Linked DNA regions of Saccharomyces cerevisiae S288C. The main gene of each other region encodes a partner of the protein of the gene in region 3 in a complex. Each region holds a gene or a part of one and is shown on either strand. Other genes may lie near its edges. A codon is read from its position in the direction of its gene.

The links.
Region 1: the proteins of MCM16 (region 3) and CTF3 are in contact, whole or in part, in a cryo-EM structure (PDB 7L7Q), measured with the Saccharomyces cerevisiae proteins. Residues at the interface, in NP_015371.1 of Saccharomyces cerevisiae: Val20 (codon at 1,016), Arg24 (codon at 1,004), His47 (codon at 935), Arg51 (codon at 923), Leu52 (codon at 920), Glu54 (codon at 914), Ile55 (codon at 911), Arg56 (codon at 908), Gln58 (codon at 902), Leu59 (codon at 899), Gln60 (codon at 896), Ile61 (codon at 893), Asn62 (codon at 890), Leu63 (codon at 887), Glu64 (codon at 884), Lys65 (codon at 881), Thr66 (codon at 878), Ala67 (codon at 875), Leu69 (codon at 869), Ile70 (codon at 866), Arg71 (codon at 863), Leu73 (codon at 857), Glu74 (codon at 854), Lys75 (codon at 851), Pro76 (codon at 848), Gln87 (codon at 815), Leu90 (codon at 806), Glu91 (codon at 803), Asn94 (codon at 794), Asp97 (codon at 785); in NP_013485.1 of Saccharomyces cerevisiae: Trp303 (codon at 1,836), Pro304 (codon at 1,833), Ser342 (codon at 1,719), Leu345 (codon at 1,710), Ile346 (codon at 1,707), Asn348 (codon at 1,701), Ser386 (codon at 1,587), Ser387 (codon at 1,584), Met388 (codon at 1,581), Asp389 (codon at 1,578), Asn390 (codon at 1,575), Pro422 (codon at 1,479), Leu423 (codon at 1,476), Gln467 (codon at 1,344), Thr470 (codon at 1,335), Asn471 (codon at 1,332), Leu474 (codon at 1,323), Ser491 (codon at 1,272), Thr494 (codon at 1,263), Leu495 (codon at 1,260), Asp496 (codon at 1,257), Phe499 (codon at 1,248), Asn500 (codon at 1,245), Asn501 (codon at 1,242), Ala502 (codon at 1,239), Arg506 (codon at 1,227), Met510 (codon at 1,215), Ile513 (codon at 1,206), Ser514 (codon at 1,203), Asp517 (codon at 1,194).
Region 2: the proteins of MCM16 (region 3) and MCM22 are in contact, whole or in part, in a cryo-EM structure (PDB 7L7Q), measured with the Saccharomyces cerevisiae proteins. Residues at the interface, in NP_015371.1 of Saccharomyces cerevisiae: Gln8 (codon at 1,052), Arg11 (codon at 1,043), Ile12 (codon at 1,040), Gln13 (codon at 1,037), Leu15 (codon at 1,031), Glu16 (codon at 1,028), Lys17 (codon at 1,025), Glu18 (codon at 1,022), His19 (codon at 1,019), Val20 (codon at 1,016), Val22 (codon at 1,010), Tyr23 (codon at 1,007), Glu25 (codon at 1,001), Leu26 (codon at 998), Leu27 (codon at 995), Thr29 (codon at 989), Leu30 (codon at 986), Asp31 (codon at 983), Arg32 (codon at 980), Leu33 (codon at 977), Tyr34 (codon at 974), Leu35 (codon at 971), Ile36 (codon at 968), Arg37 (codon at 965), His39 (codon at 959), Asn40 (codon at 956), His41 (codon at 953), Ala42 (codon at 950), Val43 (codon at 947), Ile44 (codon at 944); in NP_012669.1 of Saccharomyces cerevisiae: Lys5 (codon at 1,268), Val7 (codon at 1,262), Leu8 (codon at 1,259), Tyr11 (codon at 1,250), Ile12 (codon at 1,247), Leu15 (codon at 1,238), Glu16 (codon at 1,235), Gln18 (codon at 1,229), Ile19 (codon at 1,226), Lys22 (codon at 1,217), Arg23 (codon at 1,214), Phe25 (codon at 1,208), Leu26 (codon at 1,205), Ala29 (codon at 1,196), Ala32 (codon at 1,187), Ile33 (codon at 1,184), Ile36 (codon at 1,175), Ser40 (codon at 1,163), Gly45 (codon at 1,148), Lys46 (codon at 1,145), Pro47 (codon at 1,142), Val48 (codon at 1,139), Asn49 (codon at 1,136), Ser50 (codon at 1,133), Val52 (codon at 1,127), Phe53 (codon at 1,124), Glu55 (codon at 1,118), Leu56 (codon at 1,115), Leu57 (codon at 1,112), Lys59 (codon at 1,106).

What each region holds. Positions count from the first base shown.
Region 1 is NC_001144.5:877,756-882,464, reverse strand, and holds CTF3 (Ctf3p), read right to left. Parts: upstream 2,743-4,709; coding exon 541-2,742; downstream 1-540. Other genes in the region: leucine--tRNA ligase NAM2, read left to right, coding at 1-398; CSR1 (Csr1p), read right to left, coding at 2,957-4,183. UniProt on the Saccharomyces cerevisiae protein: Component of the central kinetochore, which mediates the attachment of the centromere to the mitotic spindle by forming essential interactions between the microtubule-associated outer kinetochore proteins and the centromere-associated inner kinetochore proteins.
Region 2 is NC_001142.9:675,499-678,488, forward strand, and holds MCM22 (Mcm22p), read right to left. Parts: upstream 1,281-2,990; coding exon 561-1,280; downstream 1-560. Other genes in the region: SGM1 (Sgm1p), read right to left, coding at 1-354; protein transporter TIM8, read left to right, coding at 1,473-1,736; TTI2 (Tti2p), read right to left, coding at 1,943-2,990. UniProt on the Saccharomyces cerevisiae protein: Component of the kinetochore, a multiprotein complex that assembles on centromeric DNA and attaches chromosomes to spindle microtubules, mediating chromosome segregation and sister chromatid segregation during meiosis and mitosis.
Region 3 is NC_001148.4:654,844-657,871, reverse strand, and holds MCM16 (Mcm16p), read right to left. Parts: upstream 1,074-3,028; coding exon 528-1,073; downstream 1-527. Other genes in the region: MSF1 (phenylalanine--tRNA ligase), read right to left, coding at 1-343; THP3 (Thp3p), read left to right, coding at 1,320-2,732; 60S ribosomal protein eL43 RPL43A, read right to left, coding at 3,025-3,028. UniProt on the Saccharomyces cerevisiae protein: Component of the kinetochore, a multiprotein complex that assembles on centromeric DNA and attaches chromosomes to spindle microtubules, mediating chromosome segregation and sister chromatid segregation during meiosis and mitosis.

The DNA.
Region 1 (4,709 bases), on a different chromosome or scaffold from region 3:
AGCTAACCAATATTTTAGAAAGTGCATTGAAAAAAGGTGAAGTAAGGAATGAAATGATAGTACAGAATTTACAAAAGTTGGTAACCGTTATATATCCTGCTGTCCCGTCAATTTCAGAAGAAGCTGCAGAGATGATCAACTCCCAAATGGAATGGAACCAATACCGCTGGCCAGAAGTTGAGCGCACTACTGAGTCCAAATTCAAAAAGTTTCAAATTGTGGTAAATGGCAGAGTCAAATTCATGTACACGGCTGACAAAAACTTTTTGAAATTAGGTAGGGATGCTGTTATTGAAACTTTGATGAACTTACCGGAAGGGAGAATGTATTTGATGAATAAAAAAATCAAAAAATTTGTCATGAAATTCAATGTGATTAGTTTCTTATTCCACAAGTAATCATATGACGCCATGAATTTACCACTAGTGCTTGTAAATAGTTAAATATTAATGCCTTATAGATATAAATTGTCCAATCTCCTTTTTGGAAGTTATAATATATATATATATATATATATGTATATAAATGTGGATGCATATTCTAAGAATTTTGAACGCTATACTTTGAGAGACTCTTCAAATATGTAAACAAGAATGCTGCAATGTCTCTATATGGATTAGCAGTGTTACTCAAATGCATTAAAATCTTTACTCTCAAGTCGTGAATGTTATTAACGCCCTTTATCCAACCATGCTGGCCAATCTCATCATGATGAACTCGAAAGAAATTGTTAAACGTCTCTTCATTTATGATCCCACTGGTGAATTTTATTTTGGTATTTTCGGCCGTTTCCAGTCGTCTTAGAATAATAATACATATGTAGGATAGCGCTGGTATACCAGTTATCGTGAAAAATTTAGCGTTCTTGAAGTCTGCAGTTGGGATATAAAGATTCTCCAAAATCTGCTTAAAGAAATCTGGTGAGACTCCAAACAAACTTTTGGATGACAGAACTTTATTCCTGTAAAGATAATTTGTCAAATCCATGATATATTGGTTCTGCATCCGAACGAATTTGTTTGTTGACGGGTATTGCATCAATTTATTTTTCGTAGCAACCAAGTACCTGCACGCAGCTGATAATAGCAAAGGATCGTCCGAACTGAACACTTTATTCATGATGTCAGGGCCCACAATCAAATATTGGATCGCATAATCCGACTTCGTTTGTTTCGACAGTTGAGTTAAAATATCTAACGAGCTGATGAAAGCCATCGTAGAAAATCTGTTTGAAGTAGCATTGTTAAAGATTTTGTCCAAAGTTAGCAGGCTTTGCATGTCATGCAGTAGTGTCAACCCGAGTGCTATCAATTTATCATCTAAAACCCAGTTTGTAATCATTTGTAAAACGTAAAAACAAGTTTCAGAAAATGTGCAATTATTGTCGTGACCATCTCGTGTACTCCACATAAAAATACTGGCCATAAACTTAACGAAAAATTCCCTTGTACCACTGATTAGTTCAGGCTTCCATAATGGCAAGATTCCGCCACAAACCTTTTTCAACGTAAGCTCATCGAGTTTTAAGTATTTCAAATTACAAAACGTTTGAATAATGCGAGAAGACAGTTTATTATCCATTGAGGACACCGAAATAATAATGGGAATAACTTCTTGCGGAGTCTCTATCTGATGTGCAAAGCATCGCTTCAATTGCCAAATGCACCATTCGTATGGTGATGACGACTCATCGCGGCTATTTTTAATGAGAATGATACTAGAGTACAAGTGTTTGAGAGAATCCCTAGACATGACTTTTCGCGGCAGTAAAACATTGCTGTTTAAAGATGGCTTCATCATGTAATCTACATCATTGGGAATATGCAATTGTGGCCAGTTTTGAGCTAATTGTTCCAATGAAGTGACATCCCAAAGAGAGACCGTACTGTCAGAGGGAACATATTCTGGAAGTGATTGAAGTCGAAGTGGGTATATAGAATCAGCACCTAATTGATGAATTTCACTCAAGTACATGTCAATTGTGTTTTGGACAGTGTCAGCGGGAAAATTAGCGGGATGTGCTCTGGATAATATTCTTTTCAAAATGGATAGGAAATGCGCATCCAATTTTAAGTTTCGATGACTTTTCAAAGTCTTTCTATTGCAATTGATGGTAATTATTGATTCAGTAATCTGACTGGATGCGCCCACGAGACATTGAAATCGTTGCAAAATAAGCGTCGCACTACCGGGAGCGTCCCGGTAACCTGGATGCATAGCGCATCTCTTGATAATAGACAACTTCCAAGGTTTGACATCAACGGGCGTCGTGGCTTGCCAAATAACCAGGGGAGTTATCCACTTCTGTAAGAACGAGAATTGCCATAAATGTAACCAGATAGAACTGGATATATTGTGTTCTCGTTCTGAATGTACAGGAAATAGGAAATAAACATGCACTAACCATTTGCACAACGCAGATTGTAGGACCGGAGGCGTTTGTATGCGATATCTAGAGAATACCGTTGGCGTACCGAGATGGTTAATAATCTCCAAAAGAAGTTCCTTCGTCAAGTAGCCATCAGGTAAAAAGCAATTTTCGACGATGTACACTTTTGTAACTGTGTCTATTATGGAAGTTTCACAGAGTAACCTTACAAGTGCTTGTAGTTGCGGCGAAGAAAGACCATATTGTTTTGATTTTTCGTATAGCAGGCTTAAAGTGGTTTTAAGGGCCTGTGGTGGCGTTCGTTCGTTAGCATTCGTTAGTGAGAGGATGATATCATCTAGTATAAGACTCATTCATGTAAAAAAAACAAAAATTGAAGGGCGAACCGTATTAGCAGGCGTATTGTTTTTCATTTCATAGTTGATTGTTTTTGATAATAAATGATTCTATAATTTTTCGCGTATTATACAAATAAAAGTAAAAGAAAAATAAGATAGAGGGACATATAAAGAAATAGATGTTTTTATAATAAAGGTCTATACAGTATGGAGCGTCGCGTGGCTTGGCTCAAACTTTTAGAGAACCATTGTAGTCATAAACGGATCTTGATCTGATGTACGGATCTAACTTGGAGTAGTTTTCACAAAGAGCGGTGGAAAGTTGTACTCTTTTCTCCTGCAGTTGAATGTATGCTGGATCGTTCAATGGCTGGTGTTCAATCCATTGGGCAGTGACAGTCAAGAATTGTTCGACCAATTCTTCTCTCTCCTTTTCGATCATAGCGCGAGTCTCGGTGTCTTTCAGATGGACGTCCAAAGAGCCATCTGGTGGAGTGTAATGATCCAAATCATTGTCATTTTCTCCGCCCAGATACCTAGGGATGTATTGGGGTTGGATAAACTTGTGCAATTCGTCGATATTCTTAGTGAAAACAATCTTGGACGCGACGACCGGATCCAGCCAATTCTTGATGATGTTCCAAATCGGGTTAAAGATCCAAGGGGCCTTATGGATAAGTAGATGGCCCAAAGATTCCGGGTAGTGAGCCTCAAAACAAGTGATTAGAAACTTGACGGGGGCATAGTCCATATTGGACATGGAGAACCCGTTCAGATCGAACAAGATGGTGGTGGATGCGGGGTAGTTTTCTTTGAAGAAAAGCTTTGATTGCTCGATGACCAACAGGGAGAATTTTTCCAGCTCCTGTTCAGTTTGGTCGGAAGAATGATGTAATCTAGGTCTCACAAGGATGACTGGCCTCATGTCATTGTCGTAACCCTGGATGGTGGCCTTTTGCAATTCCAGGTTCTTAATGACACCGGTCTCGTTATTCTCATACACAGCTCTTTCGCCACCGTTTATGATCTTGTTAATAGTGTCCTTGCGCCAGTACAAATCGTGACCCAACATGGCGATGGTCTTGTCTGCGTTCCACTTTCTGGCTCTGATAAACTTCAAAATGGTGGCGTCTGGAGTTTCATTCTTGATATCGTGCCAGAACTGCTTCTTGGTCGTTTGCGGGTCTAGATTGGCTAGTGCCTTGTGTATCTTGCCCTTTTCATAGAGGTGTGCCGCTTCAGCGGCTTCGCTGGAGTCCTGTGTATGGTCTGAGGACTGAAGCTTGCTAAACCAGGATGATTTCTTCTTCTTAGCAGGGGTGGACGAGGAGTGGAGGGAGTTATTAGGGAAAATATGAGTTCCATCCACGGGAACTTGCCACAGATGGAAAAGGTGTGTCCAAATTTGCTTAAGGACGACCTCCTGGTCTTCGGTCAACTGTCTATCAAAGGACATAATCTAGTTTATATGTGGTCTTCTTATGTGCTTTTGTGCTTTTATGCTTCTGTGTGCGTACGTATCCGTATATTTGTATGTTTGATTTTGTTTAAAGGAGCGTAAGTGACAAGTGCCAAGATTTAAAGAGCGTACCAAACGCTATTGTTTTCACCATGTGAACAAAGCTGTAACGATTTTATGTACGTACGCAAGAGGACGATGCCGATTGAAGGCAGGAGCTCAACAAACACGAAACAAAACAACGAAGAAAGAAAAGAAATATATCAGAGAACAGAGACCGCCTCGTTTAGGGCCGCACGTATACCGCGCACTCTTGGGACGCAGGGACGCGATGGCCTTGCCATGTGCAAGATAAACAAGCTGTCAACGGCACAAGTAGCGTTTATTTGAGACCTGCTTGCTTTAGCTTGCATCATCTCTTGTTCTTCTTACAGTGGTCGCCTTAGACCATCCCATTAGCCAGTTCATGGCCAACTCTCCGTGTGACATGACGAGTGGTTTTCCCGAGTGGAAAGGTTCAGAA
Region 2 (2,990 bases), on a different chromosome or scaffold from region 3:
AGTGTAATTTTTAGGTAGCCATGTAGGCAGTGATACCATAGTGTCGTCGAAGCAATCAGTCCTATTGTGATCGGGATGCACCACGTCATCGACAGCGATTGAATCTGCCTTACCTGTATCGCCTTCCACAGTGCTTTCTGATCGTACCGCAGGATCATCTATGTTTTCAGCATTGTCAATTGACACCACACCGGCAGCCGCATCATCAATGGATGTACGAGCACTTTCTTGTTCATTGTTTGACAGCACCACAGGCGATGGAGACGACAAATTTGACGTTGACCTTTTATTTTTCTTTCTTCCTTTCTTAGTTGCCAAGGAGAGTCTCTCTTCCAACGATAATTTTTTACTCATAGCAAAATTGGTATACCACTACCATACAACACTTTTTATATACTATTCTGGACTAAGGACCTTTTAACGACAGTCTATTAAAAGAGGAAGTCAAGAGCTTTTTGGTGAATAATCTACGGTTACTGCCAAATTATGATCTTCTAAATTTTGGCGCTTTATAACATCCTCACACCACTACGAAGCACACTTTGACTACGAAGTATTACTTAAGTTAGACTGGTCTCATTGAAATCTATTAGTTTGATGTATTTAGTCCCTGGATTTGTAGAGCCCTCAATTACTGTTATTATATTAGCCCTAAGTAATAATCTGTATATTGGTATCGTTTTAGATGAAAAATCGTTTAATGTCAGATTCAAATCATGCTCAATTAGTCTTTTCATTAACAGCATGACTTCGTTCGTTAAGCTATCTATTGATTCATCATTATCATCCAAATTCGGTACTAGATAACCCTTGAGAAAGTCCGCCAGTGAGTCCCAAAGCTCTTTATTTCTGGCTTTTCGTGTTCTAATATGGGCGTGATCTTGCTTCTTACTGTCCATAATGGTCATTTGATGCTGCAGTTTTCGTAGCAGCTCTTTCAAGTCACTATTAATATTATTCTGTAACAATAACATGGCCTTTTGATCAACTGATTGATCATTCATAAGCGAGAGCCATTCACTGGAACTTTGGGCTCTCAAAGACAAAAAATTCGATGTCAAACTGAAACCAATAGGATCAGCTCTCTCTGAGAAGAACATGGGTTTTCTTAATAACTCTGTAAAGACCTCAGAATTGACCGGTTTACCCTCTGTATCCAGAGATCTCTTCGTGATCTCATCGATGGCACCTTGAGCTTGCTTCAAGAAATATCGTTTGTTTCCGATCTGGTTCTCCAGGTTCTTTATGTAGACATCCAGGACATCCTTTTCAACATCCATGTTTCCTTTGTGAGACTTTCTGCCGTTTGCTCTTGTCCCTCTTTGTCGTCATATGCGTCTTGTTTGTTGTTACGCTGCATATCAAAGCGAACGGTTAGTTATTAACTAACGTAAAAATTGATGGAAACATTCATTTATATGAAAGTATTGAAGAAGAGGTAAAAAGGAAAACAAATTTACAAACAACAAAGAATGTCTTCTCTATCAACGTCTGATTTGGCCTCCCTTGATGACACTTCCAAAAAGGAAATTGCTACTTTCTTGGAGGGAGAGAACTCCAAACAAAAAGTCCAGATGTCAATCCATCAATTCACTAATATATGCTTCAAAAAATGTGTTGAGTCTGTCAATGATTCTAATTTAAGTTCGCAAGAAGAGCAATGTTTGTCTAACTGTGTGAATCGGTTTTTGGATACTAATATCAGGATTGTGAACGGGTTGCAAAACACCCGTTAATATGAAACCGATTTATCTCTCCGAGTCATTATTCTCTTTACCTTAATATATCTGTAAATAAGCAAATGAATATTTTAATATATGTCCAAGGTTTCTTTAAAAGGGATTCTTCAGCATAAAGGGCAAATAACTCTTTTTGTTTATATACTGTCTAGTTATATATATATATATATGTATATGCATTTGTCTGTGTCTGTGTCTGTTTCCTATGAGAACTCAAAAAGTAACTGAAACCGCGGTTGCTTAGATAGAGTCGATAACTGTTCACCCATAGCGCAGTCACAATTCAGCAACCAGCTTATCGTTTCCTTACATTGTTGTAGTATTGATTCGTTCAACGCATCCTCTTGCGAACACTTATCGTATGTAACTAGAATTAATGATAAAATGTCGAATCTGTGAGCCACTATTCTTTCATTCGGGCAAACCTTTATGAGAGTACTTACCACTGAAAGAGTTTTTGAAATAAGTTTTGGAAAAGTTGTGTAAAAAGGATTTCGTACAATATATTCACCTAAAACAAAAATCAGCCTCTGGAGATGTACAACAGACCCTTCTCTTTGAAGTCTCAGTATGTTCATTGTGCATTCCAATGCGTATAACGTCAAATTTTCGTATGCAAGGCTAGCCCTAGGAATTATGTTTTGCAAGATTATCTCTGACATGAACTTTTCCAGGTGATATTGATACTTTGTGTAATTGTCCAAAAATTCTACTTTATATAACGACTGTATCGTTGGGAAAACGACCCGCCATATGGCTATTGTTTCATCAGCATTGTATGAGGGAGGGAGAAAATAGCACATATTGATTAGCGTCTTTTCGAACAGTGGAAATAAACCAGTACTAGAGAACTGTATCCATTTTGAGTCATTGGTTTCGTTCATAAAGGTATGATTTAATAGCGTCTGTAGGAGCAGAACACCACGAAGTTTAATTCTTCTTATATCAGTGGTATCATCTAGTATGTTTAGAATTCCTGGAATAATCCAAGAAAGATTCGTAGATATGTCTCTCCTTTTCAAATGTAACAGAATTACGTAGAATAACGGAATGCCTTTCAAGCCACCCTGACTTACCCACGCCTGCATTAGGTTATCTTCTTTCAAAGACATTCCAAGCGTGGGTTTGAGACCAAGATTACGTTGCTCTTTGAGTTCGAAGTTGCTTTTGCGTTTTAAAAGTAGTGGCTGTAACTTAGAAATAAGGACGCACATAATTTCGTCATGTTCACTTTTGTTACGCTGAAAGTAG
Region 3 (3,028 bases):
TATAATATGTGTCAGATTTTGATCTTCCAGGATGATCCTTAGGAAACCCTAAAGAATCGAAGTTTTCCATTGTGGTTACCACGGGCTTGAAATTATTAAAGATCTTAAATGTGTTGTCGACTGAGTTTAATTTCTTTTCAATTAGATCGCGAAGAATGCCTACTGGATGTGATTCTTTCAAATGTAATGATCTGTCGGTAAGCTTTATTATTGAATCTGTAACATTGGTAGTCTGTGGGTCGGTCTTGTATTTTATGCCATTGATTTCTACATGTGGAACTTTAAGGGTTGAATATAAGCGATAAAGACCAGTCCTGGTCTTCATCATTCTATTGAGAAACATTGAAGTTACCTCCATTGGCAGATATTTTTTTATCCCTTCTCTCTCTCTGAATTTGTGAGTAGTTCCTTAATTTTCCTACCTTTTTTTTTTCTCGAAGATTCAAACCTTAATTAAGTAACTATTATTATTAGCGTTGTCAGTATTAAAATTATTTGAATATATAAATAGCATTAGAAGATAAAAATCAAATTGTGTAGGATATGTTTGTATATCCGGAGTGTATCTGTAAAGCAATCATCAATTCTTGTATCGTTTCATTTTCCTTTTCTACCTCAACCTGTTTTCCAGCAGTATCACTGTCGTCTGGCGGTATAGTTGGTTTGGGAAACTTCGACGATAACTCAATCAGTTTTGACATCAATTCGTCGCGTTCTGCTCTTGATTCAATCAACTGTTTGTGCAATGAAGATTGAGCACCTAACGATTGCAAGAGCTCATAGTCCAGAGAATTGCTTTCTTCTAAGAGGTTTTGTAGCTTGGTGAATAATACATTGGTATTGTCCGGTTTCTCCAACAGTCTAATAAGAAGAGCAGTCTTTTCAAGATTAATTTGAAGTTGGTGTCTAATTTCCAAGAGGCGCTGTTGAGTATGGCTTAATATTACCGCATGATTGTGTTTTCTAATCAAGTACAACCTGTCCAACGTGATCAACAACTCTCTATATACCTCCACGTGCTCCTTTTCTAATTGCTGGATTCTTTCCCATTGTTTTTCACTACTGTTTGTCATCTGTCAAAATGGTATGAACTCCCCACGACAGGAAGAAATGGTTAGAAGTATCTAGATATTGCACACTGTATGTGATGACGGCTATCATTTATTGTCAACATGCATCATCCTTCACGGTTTGGAATTTTTGAGTAAAAAAGGACTGAACATGACAAAAAATAGAGATTTGGCTGTCTCGTAAAGAAACCATAGAATACAAGGAGTAGGAACCGTTCGGCAGCGAGTAGTTGAGTTTCCAATAACATTATGCAGAATCCTTACGGTCACTTTACTAACAATACCACGGAGGACAGGGAAGCTTCATCTCAAGGAGGACCATTCGGCCAAAGCCTGAATAGGCCCCTAGATTACGCCGGATCTTTCCCTTCTCTGACATACAATAATAATAATTTCATTGCCAATCAACAACCTTCTCTGCCTTTGCCAGAACCACGTTTATCTTGGAACAACGTCAACCAGGTTTCTAACCCTTTGATGGTAACACCGCTTCCGGGATTACAAAAACGTATGAACAAAAACATTAAAAAGAAATTACCAAGAGTATCTAAGAAGGCATCAGCCCTTTCTAACGGGGTATCCGGCAATGTAATGAGCAACAGTAATATAGTAGGGCATGGTGCTGTAGGTTCGGCATCGGGATGGAAAGTTGAAATGGGTGGCAGTGATGAATTAGAGAGAAGAAAGAGAAGGGCAGAAAGATTCAGTCAGGGACCATCAGCGACGACGAATAGTAACGATAATTTGAATGAAGACTTTGCCAACCTAAATGCCATTAGTAGCAAATCTCATCAATATGACAAAAAGATTCATGTGGTAGGGCGTTGCCAAACTCTAGAGAAATCTTATCTGAGACTAACTTCAGAGCCTAATCCTGACTTGATCAGACCCCCAAATATTCTACAAAAAATGTATTGCTTGTTAATGGACAAATACCAATCTAAAACAGCCACTTATACTTACCTTTGCGACCAGTTTAAATCAATGAGACAAGACCTAAGAGTGCAAATGATCGAGAACTCTTTCACTATTAAAGTGTACCAAACGCATGCACGTATTGCCTTGGAGAACGGAGATCTTGGGGAATTTAATCAATGTCAAAATAGGATTATGGCGTTATTCGAAAACCCTACAATACCAAAAAAATCTTATTCCGAATTTATATGCTATTCTGTTTTGTATTCGATGTTAACCGAAGACTATCCGTCGATTTCTCATTTAAAACTTAAGTTAATAGACGATGGCTCTTCGGAAATCTTGGAGGACGAACATGTCAAAATGATATTTGAGTTGAGCGATATGAAACTAGTCGGCAATTATCACTACTTCATGAAAAACTACCTAAAACTGCACAAATTTGAAAAATGTCTAATTAATTCATTCTTAAATCTAGAAAAGTTGATATTTTTGACCATAATTTGTAAGAGTTATAACCAGGTCAATTTAGATTTTGTTAAAAGTGAGTTTAATTTCAACAGTATAGAAGAGACAACAAATTTCTTGAATGAGCAAAACTTGACGGAGTTCATATTAAACAAACAAATCACTGACAGTAATGGCAAAAGTAGTAATATCAAGATTTTGAATACCAAGGGATGTAGGGTACAGTTGATACAAAATTATATGAAGTCTAAAAAAATTGATATAAAGGGACAAAAATGATGAAGAGGGAAACGGGATGCCTAAGGTATATGATTTTGGTTTTTTTTTTTTTTTTTTTTTCTAAATAAATATATACATATTCACAACACATAAAATCTCTTGAGTGCATTCATCGATGTCACTTTCTTCTGGAAATCAGAGCCTAGATACCAGGCTTAAGGCCCCCACGAACAGTACGTGAGCTATTGGCCATTGTTCCTGCCCAAAAAACAGACATTTACTGGAAAAGTTTTTGAGTTATAATTAATTATATAGTTGTTTTATGATTTTTATACATATAATTAAAATAAAATCAA